Linked DNA regions of Struthio camelus. The protein of the gene in region 2 purifies or fractionates together with the protein of the main gene of each other region. This does not show direct contact. Links are inferred from orthologs where the notes say so. Each region holds a gene or a part of one and is shown on either strand. Other genes may lie near its edges.

Region 1 (9,531 bases), on a different chromosome or scaffold from region 2:
TTTCAGAAATAGATTCTTACCCAGCTTGAAACAATTCATGTCAAAATTTCTAGGTGATCCTACATTAGATCTAGAACATGGATCATAAAGACACTGGACAATACACTTCTTATGCTCTTTATCTCAATGAATCTATGTACTATGAAGTGTCAAGAATTCAAAATACTTTTTCCACTGCTACTACACAGAGGATATTTAAAATTAAACAGTTTGGACTATGTATAAAATGTGATCTGCACAAGAAACGTTATTATGAAACAGAAAAGTACTATTCACCAGTAAAGCCCCTACCTCACCTTCACCTCCAACACAATATCCCTTACACACACAGAAATACTTATGGATACTATGTAACCCTTATATTCCCCTCCAAATCTTTTTTTCCTGGAGAAACTAAGGCAAGAAAAGGAGTGGCCAAGCACTTGAGAATTATCATAAATATTTTAAGAAAATACACTGGAAGGGATGTTACAAATCCTTCTTTACTACATAAAAGAACGGTTGGAAATTTTCTTTCCTATTTGGACATATAAGTGCTCAACAGCCCTTTATTGCTGAGCTACTTGTCAAGGCAAACACTTTTTTTTTTAGCCATTACAGATTCCTCTCTGAAGTCCAAATGGCTATCAAGAACGACTACATTGAATGTATTAACTCCACACAATACATTTTCTAGAAGAAATTTCAGTTTACCTGTCAAGACACAAATGGATATTTTGTAACCCCGAGTTAGCAACATAAGTTGAAACACCTCCGAATTGTGGTCTTGGCAAGAAAAGACAGAAAAGCCTGTCGGGCCTTAAACGGGCATTGAGACTATATTTTTGAAAAATTGAAAAACATTTCAGAGAATATATAACAAGTAGATATCCAGACTAGTGCAGTCTTTTCTTGGACTTAGTAATTCGGATGAACATGGCGCTTAATCTGAGTCAAATTTCAACTGATATTATCATCAACTTTTTGTCTTCTGTTTCAGTTACCATAATTGGGAACAGCTAGCTAGGTTAGGAAGCAGAAAATACTAAGAAGTAAACAAACATACCCTCGGGTAAAACAACCTTGTAATACCAAATGCAAACCATATCGTATCTGATCCCTTAAAGAGGCAACTTGATTCCAAGAAAGAAAAAAAAAAAGTCTTCAGCTTAGAATAAAGATTAGAAACATACCAAGCTCATATTTAGTTATTAGTTTAGGACTACGATGTGACAGGTCATTTACCAATCTAGAAAATAACATGTTGAAGTAAGATGCAACCAATATTAAACGTCCAATTATCCAAGTAGTGAAACGCTTTATTAAAAACAGCTTTGGTCACTACAGCATAGGCCTAAAAAGTACACTCTTAGTTGTATAACTTCAGCAGTTTACCTGAGGTCTTTGTTTTGCCATCATCTATACCAAAAGCCAAAGATTCCATCATGTCAGCTTTTCTCTTGTGATATTCAAAAGGCTGCATCCTTCCTCTGTCAACTTCCCTTTCCATATTCTTTAGCAATTGCTGCTTATAGCCTCCAGAATTATCCAAGCCATATTGTCTCTGTTAGGGATGGAATGTTAATCATTAAGATTACGTTTTTTTAAATACACATTCATTAATGACTTAGAAAAGACATACACAATCAGTAGTGCGGAAAAATAGTAAGCAGTGAGATAAAAATCTCCCGATTCATGCGATTTTAATGCTGAAGGCCAAACTCCACTGCAGACCAGGATCATAAGTCTAGGAGAGCCATCCCCAGGAGAGCAGACACCTCCCTCTGCTCTCTCTTGGTCAGACAGCCATCGGCACAGAGGCAGTCAATGGCCAAGAGGTAGCAAGAGAGGGTGGTGAAGCTATTAGGGCTGTTAGGGGGGAGGGACAGGGACATCAGGAGCTAGCAGCGAGGATCTGGGGCCAAGTACGTACCAAAATATGCAATGGTGTCCAGGAAGAGGATAGACAGGATACTCAAGGACTCAAGTAACACAACTCAAGGCAGAGCAAGAGACACGCCAGGGCAGCACAGCATATGCATGGAGTCCTGCAGTGCACGGGCCTCCTCCTGGGCCAGCATCACTCATAGCAGTAGAGCCAAGCAGCTCAAGGCACGCATGCTCAGCACCAGTGCCAGGCTCAGGGTTGCTGAGGGTTTGCATCTGCCTGCAGCGCACTCCTGCATCACTGTCTCAGTACAGCCTGGCTGGCTGTGCAGATCTGACCCGGCACAGCTATCGTTATTTTCAAGAAACGAAACGTTACAGTTTCAAGGTACCTAGCCTCTAATTGCACAACTCTTCCAAATTGTATCATTTAGAAGTATTACTGCACCTGTAGCTTTTTAAATTCTTCTCTCTCTCGCCTCTCTTCTTCTGACCTTTGCTGTTTGTCTTCTTCAGTCTGGAGCCGCTGAGCAAGTTCTAGATCTCTTAAGTTTCCACCTACCCAGGAATAATATTTTACAAAGAGAAGACTTGCTCAGGAGGTTAACAATGCTTTGAATAACCATTTGTTTGATCTTTAAAAATTCTTCTGTAAGTAGACAAACATAAAAACACCTATGTATTAATTTTAGGAGATGCATCCCACGCGATATTGAGATATTAGCAAAGAATACTAGGTAACACCAACGACATTCAGTCTACCAGGACTCAGCTTTCTGATTTACACAAAGATTATGCAGGGTTATAAGGACAGTGATTTTGCCAATAACACATGTACCTCTACTACTAAGAAAACACCTTTTGTTTACTATGTTTCACTTGATTTGTCAGCAAGAAATCCTAATTTGCTGAGTATCACAGATAGCAATGATCCTAGAAGCTCGCAATCTCATAATGACGAGGTGACACAAACAAGCTTAGGGTTGGAGAACTGGACAGAAAACCCATAGGGGGGAAACTGCTAAGAAAAGCAAACTTATTTTGATTCTTTTCATTATCTCTATAACTAGGTAATCAGCACAACCATTTAGAGAAGAGAATTGGAAAAAAAAATTAGAAATTTTAATAAGCTGTTGCTTTTAAACTCATGTTACGCTAGAGTGTGCCAATCCAAGTTCCACATATGTAAATCTTCTATAGAGCTGGGGAAAAAAATGGTAATTTGTAAAATATTTTTCCCTCTAAGTTTTATTTTGCCCATGATAGAGCACATTTATTTAATAAACCTGCACAGACAGATACTTCTTTTAGCATGTGCAATTAAACAGAGCACTCAAGCATGTGATAGGACTTGCTATTCACTATGTTAATTACATTAGGGAGGCACAGTTTTCTTTTAAAATAAGGAAATATTTAGTTGAAATTTTGCCTTTGCCTAAGATTCTATACAGCAACAGACAGTTTAAAACACTCTCAAATACTATCAAGCTTACATCCTTTCACATACCTTCTGAAAAGCTATGTTCCTCTAAGTGTAAATCCACGTGTTCTTGGAGAATCTGAACATCTGTACAGGTAAGACTGCACATTGGACATTCATACAGCTGTTCGCCATTTTCTGTGTTTGAAAAAGAATTGCCATTTCATGCTTGATATAATTCTTTTTTCTTCTTCTTTTGCAAGAATCATCCCCTTCATTGATGTACATAGTCCATAATGCACAATGTACATAAATACACAGTAACGAATTTGGTACTATTAAATTCCCCACGGAGAGACAACAAAACACCTACAGCTCTCTTAACCTAGAGCAAAATATAATTAAGGATTCATACTTAAGAATTCATATTTAAATACCTGACAAGTTCATCGTAAGAGAGATTTTCTTTCTTTTTCCGAACAAGTTTTTCCCCTTTTAACCTACAGATCACTATTTGCTGTGATAATACTTGCACTTAGTCTGAAATACTAGATGTTTAATAAAAACATCTGTCCTGCTAATGGAGGAATGCTTGCTTATAATTCTTTAATGTTTGTGTGATAATACAGCAGCTGGTACACAACAAAAATAAAGTTAAAACGTCTTCTCATTCTTATTTTGTTGTTTTATCTGCATCTCCTGAAATAAATAGTCTGTCTGTAGTTTTAGTATTACTAAAGAGTATCACAGAATCTTAGAATAGTTTAGGTTGGACAGAACCTCTGGAGATGATCTAGACGAGCCCTCTGCTCATAGTATGGTCAAGCAGAACAGGTTAGGTTGCCCAGGACCACGTCCAGGTAAGTTTTGAATATCTCAAAGGACACCCCCTCATCAACCTCTCTGGACATCCTGTTCCAGTGTTTGACCACTCTCAAAATGTAAAAAAACCCAACCAACCACACAAACAAAAACAACAAAAGAACCCCACTTATGTGTAAATAAAACTTCCTGTATTTCAATTTGTCCGTATTGCCTGTTGGCCTACCACTGGGCACTACTGAGAAGAGCATGGCTCCACTTTTACTGCTCCCATGAAATATTTATACACACTGATGAGATTCTACCCCCGGCTAAGCCTTCTCTTCTCCAGGCTGAACAGTCCCAGCTCCCTCAGCCTCTCCTCCTACCAGAGATGCTCCAAGTCCCTTAATCTTTTTCGTAGCGCTTCACTGGACTCGCTCCAGCAGGTCCATGTCTCTCTTGCACTAGGGAGCCCAGCACTAGACAGAGCACTCCAGGTGCAGCCTCAACTGTACTGAGCTGAACAGACTCTTCAAGAGACTCTCCCTATCAGCTTCACTGTTTGCCTCCACGAGCGATCCTGGAGTACTCGAGCCAGTTCCTCTGCAAGAGGCCCTTGGGGAGCGCCCCCAAGGCCCTGCAGCCGCAACAGGGCGCTCAGTGCCTTAGACGGGGAATAAAACCGCCACAGCGCCCAAAGCGCGACTCTCGGCACCACCCCCGGCGTTTGCCCTCCGCACCTCACCGAGGCGGCCGCGACCAGCGCTAACCTCAGCACGGAGCCAAGCAGGACGCCGAGGCTCCCTGCTGGGCGCACGGCCCGGCCCGGCCCGCCGGGGGCCGCGGCAGGCCGCCCGCCGCCGCTCACCTGTTCCCGGGAGGCCCAGCAGGTGCCCGTGCCGCGCCCTCACGTGCGCCTCCAGCTCCCGGCCCGCCGCCGCCTCCCCGCAGAAAGGGCACTCAGGCGGCTCCGGGGCGGGCTCGGCGCAGCGGGCGCCCGGCGGCCCCGGCTCCGGGTGCGCCGCCTCGATGTGCCGGTGGAGCTCGTCGTAGCCCGGAGCGGCGGCACCGCAAAGCGGGCAGCGGGGCAGGCGCTCCAGGTGCGTGCGCCGCAGGTGCCGCCGCACCGCCGCCTCCGAGGGCAGCGCCTGCCCGCAGATATCGCACACCAGCATCGCGGCGGCGCCGCCGCCGCCGCCAACGGCCGCCAACCGCCCCAACGCGGAAATCGAAACACTCTCGACTTCCGCCCCACGGCTGCCCGAACCCGCCGCCGGCGGAACCACGTCACGCGCCTGCGCAGTGCCACAGCCAGTGAATTCTGGGAAGTGTCATTTTCTCGCTGGGGCTGCCCCAGGCGTTTCCTCCACCCACCACCCCTACCCCTCCCGGCCCGGCCCGGCCTGCCGCCGGCGCGCAGAGCCTGCTGGGAGCGGAGAGCCGCCCACCAGCCGGTGCGGAGCGCGGCGGGGCGGCGTCCGCCATCTTGAACTGCGAGTCGTCGCTGGGTGCTGCGCTGCGAGGAGGAGCGGAGCGGAGAGGGGTTATCTCGCCGGGGGGGACGGCGCCAGTGGTCGACGTGGGCGCTTTCCGTCTCCGCTTCAATGGGTAAGAGAGACGGAGCACCGAAAGCCGATGGGTAGAAGAAGGAGCTGTTCGCCGCTGGCGGGGAGCGGTCTGCTCTGCCTGGCCGGCCCGGCCCGGCCGGCGGCGGCGGCAGGGCGGGAGACTCGGTCCCCGCCGGTCGGCGCGGTCAGGGCCGGGGCGGAGTCCTGCCGTGCTGTTCCCTGCCGCCTCCCCCGCCGGTGGGCTGCTTCCTCCGGTCTCCGTGCCCCGTTGCCCGGGCGGTGGGGAGGGAGCCTTTTCCACTCCCTTTCAGAGGACGTGGGTGAAATGCGTCGTTGATCTGTCTCTCTGGCCGGCGAGGGGACTGGCGGTGTGGCACAGCCGAGCACCGGCTCTCGTCGTTTGGCGGCCCGTGCAGCCTCCCTCAGCTCTGCGGGACGGGGAAGCGGCGGCGATCCTGCACGGCCCGGTGCTTGGGGAGCCTGATGTGACAGGGAGAAAAGATCTGTTTCTCAGGCAGGTCTTAGTCTAGGCACAACAGGTGGGTGTGATACACAGTGTGGCTGGTGGAGGGATTTAGTGCTAAAGTGAGTACGGTTTAGCAGGGAAGTTCAAAATTTCTTGAATGTAGATGCAAAAGTTGTGAAGCATGAACAGATAGGGACTTCCAGTTTTTCCGACTGTATAACACCCATGAAAAATCTTTGTCGGCACGAGGGTATAATTTTGTTGGATTACTTTTAACCTAGCACTTCTGTTTGTTTATTGCTTGGCCTGACAGTTTTATTGGCACAACTGAATTGGCAGGACATGAATGGCTAGAGAGGTGAAGTGTTCTGGAACTAGTTAAGCCAGTCTTGTCCAAAAAATGCTCTTGTGAAATTGTACCTCGAAAGTCACAAGACAGTTACAGGAAAATTACTTCGGAAGGTGGCTCAGTTAGCCGTGGTCCAGAGATGGCAGTAGTTTACCAGGGCTCTCACCAGCCTAATGCGTTTGGGTGGAACAGGCTGCTCAGTCCTCGGAGTGTCTTGTTGGTGCTAACCTAAATCTGTGGACTGATATCCTCTCGTGGCTGGTGTTTGTTACTGAGCAGCCCTCGATACTGATATAACAAAGCCTCAGCATGAGAACGGCCTGCAGCTCAAGAACTGTAGTTCAAATATTCTTATGCCTTAGCTGTTCTTTTGTTGTGAAAGAATTCCAGACAAATCAGTTTGCTTAGAGTCTTGAATCGTATTTTTCACAATTAATTATTTGTCAGATGAAAGCTTCAGTTTCAGCTTTAAAAACAAGCACCTTGCTGTTAAACAAATTTTGTCAGTCAGTTACATTTGATCATTTCAGTGACAGAATCGTGCTGCGTCACTTTTATCTTTCCAGAACCAATATGCCAAAGTTGACAGGCAGATACTAATCTTCATTATACATCAGAAGAACTGATAATTAAAATGAGTCAATCACTTTGTTAGTTTAAAATGGAAAAGGATAGACCTATCTGGGTGCTATTGACCCTTAATTTGGTTTCTCTGCAGTGTTTTTGTTTTTCTATATATAGATGAGAGAAGAAAATGTAAGATAACTTTTAGATCCTTTATTATGTTTTTGAGGTAGGCATCTTAAAAAAGTGAAGAGACAGTACCGTATGATGTTAAATGAAGGAATAATTATTGCAAGTTTTCTTCTTGGATTTGTTTTTATTTTATTTTATTTTATTTTGATACACCTAATTCTTCCTTTTGAAGAGGAGGAAGTGAATTCCTGTACTTGCTGATAGAGTGGCAGACAATTATTCCCTTAAATTTTAGATCAAAATTTAGCAGTGTAGTGTTCTCGGTGTTTGTGTCTCGTAAGACAAGCAACTTAATTTTGAGTACTTTAAGCCATTTAATTAAGTGCCTGATCCCTGAGAGGAACTGTAGTTTAATCTGCAATTAAAAATGCATATCTAGGCAATGATTTTTCTCTAATTTCTATTTTGAAGATTTTTTTGAATGAACTAGGCATTGCTTACAACTGCAGGAATACATTTTGCTGCTATGGGTATTTTTGCAGTAAAAGAGATGGCAGGTTTGTCCTTTAAGGCTTGGCCTTTTGAGGTAATTTTTCTTTTTTTAATAGACAACATGGCAAGCCCAGGGAAAGATAACTTCAGAATGAAAAGCTACAAGAATAATGCGCTCAATCCCCAAGAAATGCGTAGGCGAAGGGAAGAGGAAGGAATCCAGCTTCGGAAACAAAAAAGGGAAGAGCAGGTAAGCCTCTCAATGAGATATTAACTGTTAAGGGTTTATGAAGTTATAGTCAGGTCGGTGAAGGGATTCGAGCAGGCTCCTGTGGAGTAGAATCCAGAGAACCAGGCTAAATATCCGCTTTCTGTGCGATCTTGGTGAGTGCCAGGCACCTTTCCGTAGGATCGTAAAACAAAGAAGTGAACAGAGGCCCTCTTAAGTCATTGGGGAATACCAATGAGAAATCCATATCTTAAGTTTAATCTCTACTCTAAGTTCAGACATATAAGAGCTGGGTGAAAGGAGGAGCTTAATTCAGATAAGGTTTCAACATTCTCTTCTAGAGTTTGGGCCGAAGTTGTACTGTTAAAAGTGAGAGGGTTATTTTGTCTTGGAACCCATGCCTCAAATTGCTCAAGAGCTTTTCATAAAGTAGGTTAGTACTGTGGCTTCCAAATGACAGTCCCTAAACTATTTTAAATAATATTTTCAGTTGTTGTCATTGAATTTTTAGTGATGAGAGTACATAGAGTATTGTGTAATTTTATGGCTGGCAGTAGTCCCTGTTCCCCAAATGTTTCAGAATTCTTTTCCAGGAAAGCAAGGAAAGGTTTGTTATTCTCCTTGGTTTCAAGTGGCTGACTCCTGTCTCCCACAACCTAGAGAGTGTCCCAGGCACTGATCTACAGCCTCCTCTGAGGTGGGAATGCTTACCCTTCTCCTGGGAAAGTGATGCTGGAAAATGAATTTAAATTAGTTGGGCCAGAGAGGTAAGAGTAAGAAGTAGTAAGGTAATGGAGCATTTACTTGTGAATGGGTTCACCTGAATGTTAGTATCTCCTGAAAGGTTTGTTTGTGTATTTTTCTAGTAAATTATTCTCAGATAAATTATAAGAATAGTAGGTGGTCCTTGTCTCATGCTGAGTGTCGTCCGACTGAGAATATTCTTGTGGTGTCTTTCTTCTTAATTTCTGGAATAGTATTTTCAGCTCCTCTCACACTGAGGGAACAAATTATACAAGAAAAAGATTGCTTTTGTGCCAGGTAAAGTTAGAACTGGTAGATGCACTGTGCTTGTAAACAGAGCAGTTAACAGGTTTCAACCAAGAGCTTCCACGCTCTTGCTGAGTGCTAGAAAGAATGGCTGATCTTACAAAAGAACAATATTGTCTCTCCTTCCATTTCTAGGTTTCAGTGGAATTGAATGCAATTGTTTTGTGTCCAGGATTATACCGAATTTGGGAGTTGTGCGTTGAACAAGAGAGAGCATGCGTTTTGTTTTAAGATCCTCTTTGACATGTGGGTAGAAGTAAATATGGAGTTGCTTAAGCAGTTTTGGCCATGTGCCATAGCAGAAATGTAGGTGTCTAGACAACTTTGAAGACAAAATCTTCAGGATTAAGTAGGCTGTTTCGTTATTATACTTAAGAGGTGAAATCCTAGACAGTGAATAGATTGAGATTTTAACATTTATTTTTAAAGATATTGTCATAGTATTCGTAGAATGGTTAATTATAATAGTTGTAAGTGTAGTACTGAATTGAAGATACAAATACAGGTTTGGTTTCTAGAAGCAAAACAGGCTAATGTGAATGTTCTGTTTGTATGCCAGGAAATGAAGAGGTACTTATTAAGCATACTCAT
Region 2 (9,952 bases):
CCACCACTTCCACAAAGCCAACGCTGCCAACGCCACCACCACCAACGCCAACACCGCCACCATCATGCCAACGCCACCACCACCACTGCCATGCCAACGTCACCACCACCACCACTACCATGCCACCACCACCACCACCACCACCGAAGCTACGGGAGATGTTTCTCCACGGCCCAGCCGGCCGCTCTCACCTGGGCGGGAGCCGACGTGAGGGTGACGGCCGGTTTCAGCGGCGTCCCGGCGCCCGGCGGCTTCACGGGTTGCAGCACCAGCTGTTTCACGGGTCGGCCGGGTTGGACCAAACGATGGACGGTGGCGGCGCCCGGCCCGGCCGGCGTCACTTTACCGGCTAACACGGCGTTGCCGGAAACGATGGAGACGCCGGGCCGGAGCGGCGTACCCGTCAACACTTTGGCGAAGGTCACCTTGCCGCCGTTGGCCGCCGCCGCCGCCAGCGGCTGGGCCGGCGCTTGGAGCTGCGCCACGTGAGCGCCGGCCGCCGAGCCCCCGGCCGGGGCTTTGAGGATGACGATTTTGGGAGCGGGCAGAGCGGCGGGCGAGGAGGAGGAGGAGGAAGGCGCCGGGGCGGCCACCCCCATGAAGGGGTTGCCTTGGCTCAACACGTCCTGCTCGGGCGGCGCGGGGGCGTCCGTCGGGGCGGCGTCGGGCGCCGGGGCCGCCGGCGTCTCCTCGGGCGGCGGCGTCTCCGCCGGGGCGGCGTCGGACGGCGGCGGCGGCGGAGGAGGAAGAGGAGGAGGAAGAGGAGGAGGCGGCGGCGGCTCCTCCAAGGCCCCCGCCAACCCCAGCGCCTCCTCGATGGGGTCGTGGGGGGCCGGGGCGAAGCCGTCGTCCGTCAGGGCGTCCAGGCCGAAGAGGTTGGGGTCGTCGAAGAGGTCCATGATGGGGTCGGCCATGGCGCCGGGGCGGCCCGGCGGCCCGGCGGTCCCGGCTGCGGGGAGAGCGCGGGCGGTTCAGCCGCCGTCCTGTGCCCCCACCGCCCTCACCCCAACCCCGACCCCCTCCTGCCCCCCCAGACCCCCTGCAATCCCTCCTACCCCCCCCAAATCCCCTCCTACCCCCCTAGACCCCCCTCTCCTACCCCCGGACCCCCTCCTGCCCCCCAGACCCCCTGCAATCCCCCCAGACCCCCTGCAAACCCCCCAGACCCCGCACAGCCCCTTCCTGTTCCCCAGACCCCCTGCAACCCCCCCAGACCCCTGCAACCCCCTCCTGCCCCCCAGACCCCCTGCAATCCCCCCAGACCCCCTGCAACTCCCCCCAGACCCCCTGCAATCCCCCCCAAACCCCTGCAACCCCCCCAGACCCCCTGCAAACCCCCCAGATCCCTGCAACCCCCCCAGACCCCCTGCAATCCCCCCAGAACCCCTGCAATCCCCCCCAGACCCCCAGCTGCCCCCCAGACACCATGCAATACCCCCAAACCCCTGCAATCCCCCCCAGACCCCCTGCAGTCCCCTCCTGTCCCCCAGACCCCATGCAATCCCCCCAGACCCCTGCAATCCCCCCCAGACCCCCTGCAACCCCCCCAGATCCCCTCCTGCCCCCCTAGACCCCCTGCAATCCCCCCAGCTCCATGCAACCCCCCCAGACCCCTGCAATCCCCCCCAGACCCCCTGCAGTCCCCTCCTGCCCCCCAGACCCCATGCAATCCCCCCAGACCCTCTGCAATCCTCCCCAGACCCCCTGCAACCCCCCCAGATCCCCTCCTGCCCCCCTAGACCCCCTGCAAACCCCCCAGCTCCATGCAATCCCTCTCTAGACCCCCTGCAACCCCCCCAGACCCCCTGCAACCCCCCCAGCTCCATGCAATCCCCTCCTAGACCCCCTGCAACCCCCCAGCTCCATGCAATCCCCCCCAGACCCCCTGCAACCCCCCCAGACCCCCTGCAACCCCCCAGCTCCATGCAATCCCCTCCTAGACCCCCTGCAACCCCCCCAGACCCCCGCAACACCCCCCAAGACTCCTGCAACCCCCCTTAGCTCCATGCAATCCCCCCCAGACCCCTGCAACCCCCCCAGATCCCTTCCTGCCCCCCCAGACCCCTGCAACCCCCCCCCCAGCTCCATGCAATCCCCTCCCAGACCCCCTGCAACCCCCCCCAGACCCCCCCCCCGATCCCCCTCGCCGCCCGGCTCCCGCGCACCCCCCTCCCCGTCCTGCAGCCGCCGCTTCCTCCCCGGGGCGGGGGGGGGGGGGCCCAGGCGGAGCCGGGTCCGGTTACCGGCTGCTGCTTCCTTCCCCCCCCCCCCAAAAAAACACACCGCCTGGCAGCCGGGCATCCGCACCGCCTCCCCCCCCCCCCGAAAACGGGGCCCGGAGCGACGCAGGGCGTCACGGGAGCTGCCCGGCTCGGCGGTGACTCAGGGCGAGGCGACGCCGGAGCGAAAATCCATCATGGGGGGGGGTGCTGGGAGCACTGGGAGGGCCAGGCACGGGGGCACTGGGAGCACTGGGAGGGCAGGCACGGGGGCCCTGGGGTGGCCAGTCATGGGGGGGGCGGGCTAGAGGGAGAACGCCCATTAATCGGGGAATGGGAGGTGCTGGGGTGCCCAGTAAGAGGGGGAACTGGGGGCACTGGGTGCCCAGTATCAGGGGCACTGGGGTGCCCAGTAAGAAAGGAGCGGGGGGCAATGGGGTGCCCAGTAAGAAGGGAACTGGGAGAATTAGGGTGCCCAGTATCAGGGGGACTGGGGGGACTGGGGTGCCCAGTCGCAAGGGGGCGGGGTGCCCAGTTGCAGGGAAACTGGGGGCACTGGGGTGCCCAGTATCAGGGGGACTGGGGGCACTGGGCCGCCCAGTAATAAGGAACTGGGGGATACTGGGCCTCCCAGTAACAAGGGACTGGGCAGCACTGGGCCTCCCAGTCACAGAGGGACTGGGGGCACTGGGCCTCCCAGTCACAGGGAACTGGGGGCACTGGGGCTCCAGTTTCAGGGGAACTGGGACTACTGGGCTTCCTACTAATAATGAACTGGGGGCACTGGGGGCCCACTCGCAAGGGAACTGGGATTCCCAGTTGCAGGGGAACTGGGGCACTGGGCCTCCCAGTAAGACGCAACTGGGAGCACTAGGGGGGCCCAGTCACAGGGGAACTGGGGCTACTGGGGACCCCAGTTACAGGGGGCACTGGGGGGCCACCGGGCCTCCCAGTAATAAGCAACTGGGAGCACTGGGGGCCCCAGTTACAAGGAAAACTGGAGGCACTAGGTCTCCTACTAATAATGAACTGGGAGCACTGGGGACCCAGTTACAGGGGGAACTGGGGGCACTGGGGGCCTCAGTGGCAGGGGAACTGGGACTCCCAGTTGCAGGGGAACTGGGGGCACTGGGCCTCCCAGTAAGACGCAATTGGGAGCACTGGGGGGGGCCAGTCACAGGGGAACTGGGGCTACTGGGGACCCCAGTTACAGAAAGAACTGGGGCCACTGGGGACCCCAGTTACAGGGGGCACTGGGGGGCCACCAGGCCTCCCAGTAATAAGCAACTGGGAGCACTGGGGGCCCCAGTTACAGGGGGAACTGGGGGCACTGGGCCTCCTACTAATAATGAACTGGGGCTACTGGTGGGGGCCAGTTACAGGGGGAACTGGGGCCATTGGGCCTCCCAGTAAGATGCAACTGGGAGCACTGGGGGGCCCAGTTACAGGGGGAACTGGGGCCACTGGGGACCCCAGTGGCAGGGGAACTGGGGCCACCAGGCCTCCTACTAATAATGAACTGGGAGCACTGGGGGACCCAGTTACAGGGGGAACTGGGGCCACCGGGCCTCCCAGTAACAAGCAACTGGGAGCACTGGGGGACCCGGTTACAGGGGGAACTGGGGCACTGGGCCTCCTACTAATAATGAACTGGGAGCACTGGGGGGGCCAGTTACAGGGGGAACTGGGGCCACCGGGCCTCCCAGTAACAAGCAACTGGGAGCACTGGGGGACCCAGTTACAGGGGGAACTGGGGCCACCGGGCCTCCCAGTAACAAACAACTGGGAGCACTGGGGGGGCCAGTTACAGGGGGAACTGGGGCCACCGGGCCTCCCAGTAAGACGGAACTGGGAGCACTGGGGCCGCCCAGTCACGGGGTCGCTTCCGCCTCGTCCCCCCCCCCGCCGCCGCCGCCGCCGCCGCCGCCGCCGCCTTCCCGCCCCCCCCGCGCTACGGGAGCCGCGCGGTCGCGCCCACGTGCCCCCCGCCCCCCCCCGCGCGCGGGGCCCTACCGTCCTTCCGCGACGGCCCCCCCCGCCGCCGCCGCGACATGGACGCGCCCCACCTCCCTCCCCCCGCCCGCACATAGGCGGCTGGGAGCGGGCTGGGCTGAACCATCCCGCCTAGCTGGGGGGGGGGGGGGGAGGCGGGAAGGAAGAGACAAAACCTCCGCCGGCGCCATCCCATAATACCCTCCCCCTACCGCCGCGTCGCTATGCCGACCGGAAAATAAAATAGCTTTTTGGGGGTGGGTTTTTTTGGTTTTTTTTTTTTGTTTTTTTTTGGGGGGGTGGTGGTGGGGGGGGGCGGGGGGGAGGGGGTCGGTCTTACCTGGTGGCGGCGGGGAGGGGGGGGCGGGGGGCGTCTCTTCTTTTCCCCCCCCCCCCGCCCCGCGAGTGGCCTCACCCTGCGCGCGGCGCTGCCTCCCTCCCCCCCCTCCCCCTCCTCCTCCTCCTCCTCCTCCCGTCAGGGCAGCGCGAGAACAAGGCGGCCGCGCGGGCGCGGCGCAACGCAACCTGCTGCTCCCCCCCCCCGCCCGCCTTCCCCAGCGCCGCCGCCCTATTGGCCGCCGCCCCGCGCTAGGCCACGCCCCCCTCCCCTTATACAGACAGCGCTGAGGAGAAAAGGGGGGGGAGGAAGGAAGGGGGCGTGGCCTCGGCAGCAGGGTAGGTTGCGCCGCTTCCCGGAAGTCGCCGCGGAGGGGGCCTAGCGCGGGGCTTGAGGGGGGGAGGGGGCTGCCGCCGCGCTGCCTGACGCGCCCCCCCCCGCCGCCGCCGCCTGCGCTCATTCCCCCCCCCACTCCGCCCTCCCCGCCTTTTAATTAGTATAAATAAATAAATATATATATATATGTGTTTTACCGCGGCGGGTGTGCGGCGCTGCGGCGCCGCCGCCGCCTTCCTTGCGCTGGCTGCCCGGCGAGGCGGAAGGGGGCGGCGTGAGGCGGCGCCTCCCGTCAGGCAGCGCCGCGGGCACCTAAGCGCCGCCGCCGCCGCCATCTTGCGGCGGCCCTTAACCCCCTGCCCGCCATGGCGACGCTCCCCCCCCCCCGCCCGCTTCCCCCTCCGTCGCCGCCTACAAACGGCTTTTTTTTTTTTTTTAAATCATCCCTTTTGCGTTAAAAATAAAAACCGTTAAACCCTCCGCGCCCCCCCCCTCCCCGCACTACCGGCTCGCTGTTTTTATTGTTTTTAGGGGTAAAACGCCCCAAATCGACGTTTCCGCGCTGCCGCGGCCTCCTCCCCCCCTCCCGTCCCCAAACGGAGCTGCTTCGGCTTATTTCCACTTTTAAAACAAAATAATAATGTGGGGGGGAAATGAAATAACAAGCGGAAAACAAGCTCAAAAAGCTTGTTTTTTTCTGGAAAATAAGCTCAAAAGTGCCTCCCCCCCCCCACCTTGGGCTCTTATTTTAATAAAAAGCTGTAAAATAGACGCCCGAAGGCGGCTAAACCCCTTAAAAGCCCGAAACGAGCCCCCAAAAGCTCATTTCCGCCCTCAACAAAGCATGTTTTCGTATTTAATAAAATATAAGGGAAAAAAGAGGTAAAAAAAATGATAAATTAGCACCCTGCCCCGCCAGCCGCTTTTTGGTGTTTTCCTAACTCGGGCGTCCCCGAAGCGGCTTTTCCCCGGCAAAACCGTTTCCCCGCAAATTCATGACGGGAGAGGGGGAAAAAAAACCCCAAAACCACCTTTTTGAAACTCAAGCAGCTGTTTGTTGGGGTTTTTTTTTTTAAGGAAAATGGGGGGAAAAACAAAAAAAAGCAAAAATCCTGCTGCTGCTGTAAGTTTTCATCTTTCCCTATAGCGGAAAAAGGAAATGCTTGAGGAAAATGAGGAAAAAGCCCTTTAAAATACTTCATGTTCCTGTTTATAAGGCAGAACAGGTGAACGTGAAACGTCTGCATTGTTTAACAGAAAAAAAAAAGTATATTTTGTGTATGTGTATAGATATATATATATATATATTTTTTTTTTTTTTTTTTTTGCTTTTCTGCACAATTGCTGTGTTTCTGTTTTTTGGGGCGAGGAGAAAGAAGGCGAAACCCTGCGATTTTGGCCAAAGCGCTTTATCCCGACCGCTCGTCCTCCCCTCCAGCGCCGCACGTCGCGCGAGTGAAAAGAGGAGGAGGAAAAAAAAAAAACCCAAAACAACCTGCCCCAGCTCCAAAACTGATGCTCGGCCGCGAGTAGTTTTCCTCACCGGAGCGAAAACGTGTCGGTGGAGGGGGAGGAAACGGGACCGAATCGGGTGGGAAAAAGGGGGGGAAACAGGATTGAATCTGGGGAAAATGAGGAAAACTGAGGAAACGGGCTCAAATCGGGAGGGAAAATGGGGGGGAAACGGGGAGGAAACCAGGATCGAGTCGGGTGGGAAATGGGGAAAATGGGGGGAAATGGGATTGAGTCGGGTGGGAAATGGGGAAAAGGGAGGAAACAGGATCAAATCAGGTGGGAAAATGGGGGGAAATGGGATCGAATTGGGTGGGAAATGGGGGAAACGGGGAGGAAAGGGATTGAATCAGGTGGGAAAACGGGATTGAATCAGATGGGAAATTGGGGGGGGAAATGGGATCGTTCGCGGGAAAGAGGCGACGAGGAGGTTCGGGGCGGGAAATTCCCGTGCCGAAAACATCGTGGTCGGGGCTGGGCCGGGGGATTTACGGAGGCGGCCGGCGTCGAACGACGCCGCGAGCGGTCACGGCGTTTAAAAAAAGAAAACTGAAAAATCAAAAAAAGAGAAAAAAAAAAAAAAAAAAAAAGCTCGTTTACAGGCAGCGGAGACGGCGCTGAAGCGGCAGCGGAGCCGCCCCGGCGAGAAACGCAGCTCGAAGCCGCCGTCTTTTTTCCTCTCCTTTTCCCTCCAACCCAAAACGAAGGGGGCGATTCGTTCAGCAGCAGCCGGAACCGTCTCCCGAGCCCGGAGCGCCGTGTCGGGCGGCGGAGGAAGGCGCCGTCCCCGCGGGTTGCTGGGGACCGATTTTGATGCCGTTGGCCTGGAAAAGGAGAATCGGGGAGAGAGGGGAGCGGGAGCCGCCGCTTCCCTCTGCCCCGCCGGCTCCGGGCGCTCACCTCGTTGCTCACGTCGAACAGGCCCTGCTGGATCTTGCCGTAGATCTCCTTGGCCGTGTCGATAAACGCCTGCCAACGAGAGGCAAAAAAAGGAGGGGGGAAAAAAAGGGGGAAAAAAAAGGAGGAAAAAACAAAAAAAAAAAAAAGAGGGAAAACCAGCTGCCCCCAGTGGCTCTGAGAGGGGATTTCCCACCGGCGAGCAGGAAAGCATAAAGAAATATATACGTATGTGTATTTATATAACCGCCGGCCCCCCCCCCCAAATAATCCCTTCACCTCTTCGACGTTGGCCGCCGTCTTAGCCGACGTCTCCATGAAAACCAGCCCGTGCTCCCGGGCGAAGGCTTCGCCCTCCTCCTTCCGCACGTCCCGCCGCGACTCCAGGTCGCTGCCGAGGCAGGAGACGGATTCGGCCGAGGGGCAGGACGCAAGAAAAGAAAGGGGGGGTGAGGTGGGTGAAAAAAACGAAAAAACAAAAAAACCTCCCTTCTTAGAGTCCGGGACGAGTCTCCGGACTCGCTCTTGTTGTTTTTATTTAACCTCTTGTTCCCGATCAGCATGATGACCATGTTGGAGCTGGAGTGTTGGCGGGCGTCTTCCAGCCAGGACGTCAAGTGGTTGAAGGTCTCGCGCCTGCGCGGGGGCCAAGAGCGATTCGGGGTGGGGGGCGGCGGAGGGGGGACGACGTCGAGGCCGACGCGAGCGCGGCCGGCGGCGATACCTGGTGATATCGTAAACCAGCAGCGCCCCGGCCGCTCCTCGGTAGTAGGAACGCGTGATCGAGCGGAAAGACTCCTGTCCAGCCTGGAAAAAGAGAGATATTTATATATATAGAGAGAGAGAGAGAGTTTTTTGTTTTTTTCTTTTTAAAAAAAAGGGATGGTCCCGATACGCTGCTGTTTTTTCTTTCTCCCCCGCGGCCTCACCGTATCCCAGATCTGCAGCTTGATCTGCTTGTTCTCGACGCTGATCATGCGCGCCCCGAACTCGACGCCTGCAAGAGAGGGCGCGGGGCTGCCGGACGCGGGCTCGGAGGAGCCGGGGGAAACGCGGGGCCGGGCTCCGCTCCGGCCGGGATCCTCACCGATGGTCAGGTCGTGGACGGGCTGGAAGCGCTTGTCGGTGAACTGCAGCAGCAGGCAGGACTTGCCGACGCCTGCGGGCGGACGGACGGACGGGCTCCGGCTCCCTCCGCGACTGCTGCCCTCGATCTCCCCCCAAAAATACCTCCCCCCTTGTTTTCTCCCCCCTCTCCTACATCCTGGCTGCTCCCCACACCCCCAGCTCCCTCCGGCCACCGGCCCCCTTTTGCCTCCCCCCTCAATCCCCCCCCCCAAATGACCCCTTTCTGCCCCCCTCAGGCTCTTCTGCCCCCCTAAAGCCCCTTCCTGCCCCCCCAGAGACCCCTCTTGTCCCCCCAGAGCCCCTTCCTCCCCCCAGACCCCTTTCCTGTCCCCCCAGACCCCTTTCCTGTCCCCCCAAAGCCCCCTCTTGTCCCCCCAGAGCCCCCTCTTGTCCCCCCAACCCCTTTCCTGTCCCCCAGAGCCCTTCATGCCCCCCTAAAGCCCCTTCCTCCTCCCTTAGACCCCTTCCTGCCCCTCCAAAGCCCCTTCCTGCCCCACTTCAGGCTCTTCTACCCCCCCCCGAAACCCATCCTGCCCCCTCAGACCCCCTTTCTGCACCCCCAGAGTCCCATCCTGCCCCCCCAAAGCCCCTTCCTTCCCCTCCAGACCCCTTCCTGCCTCCCCCAGAGCCTCTTCCTCCACCCCAGACCCCTTTCTGCCCCCACAGAGCCCCATCCTGCCCCCTCCAACCCCTTCCTGCCCCCCCAAAGCCCCCTTTTGCCCCCCAAATCCCCTTCCTGTGCTCCCTAGAGCCCCTTCCTGCCCCCCAGACCCCTTTCTGCCCCCCAGAGCCCCATCCTGCCTCCTTCAACCCTCTCCTGCCCCCCTAAAGCCCCTTTCTGTGCCCCCCAGAGCCCATTCCTGCCCCCCCAAAGCCCCTTCCTGTGCTCCCTAGAGCCCCTTTCTGCGCCTTCAAAGCCCCTTCCTTTCCTCCAGACCCATTCCTGCCCCCCTAGAACCTCTTCCTCCACCCCAGACCCCTTCCTGCCCCCCAAAGCCCCTTTTTGCCCCCCAAATCCCCTTCCTGTCCTCCCTCGAGCCCCATCCTGCCCCCCCAGAGCCCCTTTCTGTGCCTCCCAGAGCCCCATCCTGCCCCCTCAGACCCCTTTCTGCCCCCTCAAAGCCCCTTCCTTCCCCCCCAGACCCCTTCCTGTCCCCCAAAGCCCCTTTTTGCCCCCCAAAGTCCCTTCCTGTGCTCCCTAGAGCCTCTTCCTGCCCCCAGACCCCCTTTCTGTGCCCCCCCAGAGCCCCCTCCTGCCCCCTCAGACCCCCTCCTGCCCCCTCAGACCCCCTCCTGCCCCCTCAGAGCCCCTTCCTGTCCCCCCAAAGCCTCTTTTTGCCCCCCAAAGCCCCTCCTGTGCTCCCTAGAGCCTCTTCCTGCCCCCAGACCCTTTTCTGCCCCCCAGACCCCCTTTCTGTGCCCCCCAGAGCCCCATCCTGCCCCCCAGAGCCCCTTCCTGTGCTCCCTAGAGACCCTTCCTTCCCCCCTCAGACCCCTTTCTCCCCCCCACAGCCCCTTCCTGCCCCACTTC

Evidence for each region.
Region 1: the proteins of CHD8 (region 2) and KPNA5 purify together in Homo sapiens (affinity purification with mass spectrometry; 3 studies listed by BioGRID and IntAct, with this or other methods). This does not show direct contact. The link is inferred for Struthio camelus from reciprocal best matches to the Homo sapiens genes CHD8 and KPNA5.

The regions. Positions count from the first base shown.
Region 1 is NC_090944.1:64,278,453-64,287,983, forward strand, and holds the start of KPNA5 (importin subunit alpha-6), read left to right. Parts: upstream 1-5,391; 5' UTR 5,392-5,694; coding exon 5,695-5,698; intron 5,699-5,969; exon of another isoform or gene 5,970-6,197; intron 6,198-7,777; coding exon 7,778-7,911; intron 7,912-9,075; exon of another isoform or gene 9,076-9,091; coding exon of another isoform or gene 9,092-9,186; intron 9,187-9,531. Other genes in the region: ZUP1 (zinc finger-containing ubiquitin peptidase 1), read right to left, coding at 1,375-1,543, 2,315-2,424, 3,374-3,484, 4,959-5,265. UniProt on the Homo sapiens protein: Functions in nuclear protein import as an adapter protein for nuclear receptor KPNB1. Binds specifically and directly to substrates containing either a simple or bipartite NLS motif.
Region 2 is NC_090970.1:63,732-73,683, forward strand, and holds the start of CHD8 (chromodomain-helicase-DNA-binding protein 8), read right to left. Parts: upstream 4,326-9,952; 5' UTR 4,273-4,325; coding exon 4,233-4,272; intron 950-4,232; coding exon 192-949; intron 1-191. Other genes in the region: RAB2B (ras-related protein Rab-2B), read right to left, coding at 6,769-7,684, 7,837-7,929, 8,018-8,100, 8,223-8,290, 8,381-8,452. UniProt on the Homo sapiens protein: ATP-dependent chromatin-remodeling factor, it slides nucleosomes along DNA; nucleosome sliding requires ATP. Acts as a transcription repressor by remodeling chromatin structure and recruiting histone H1 to target genes.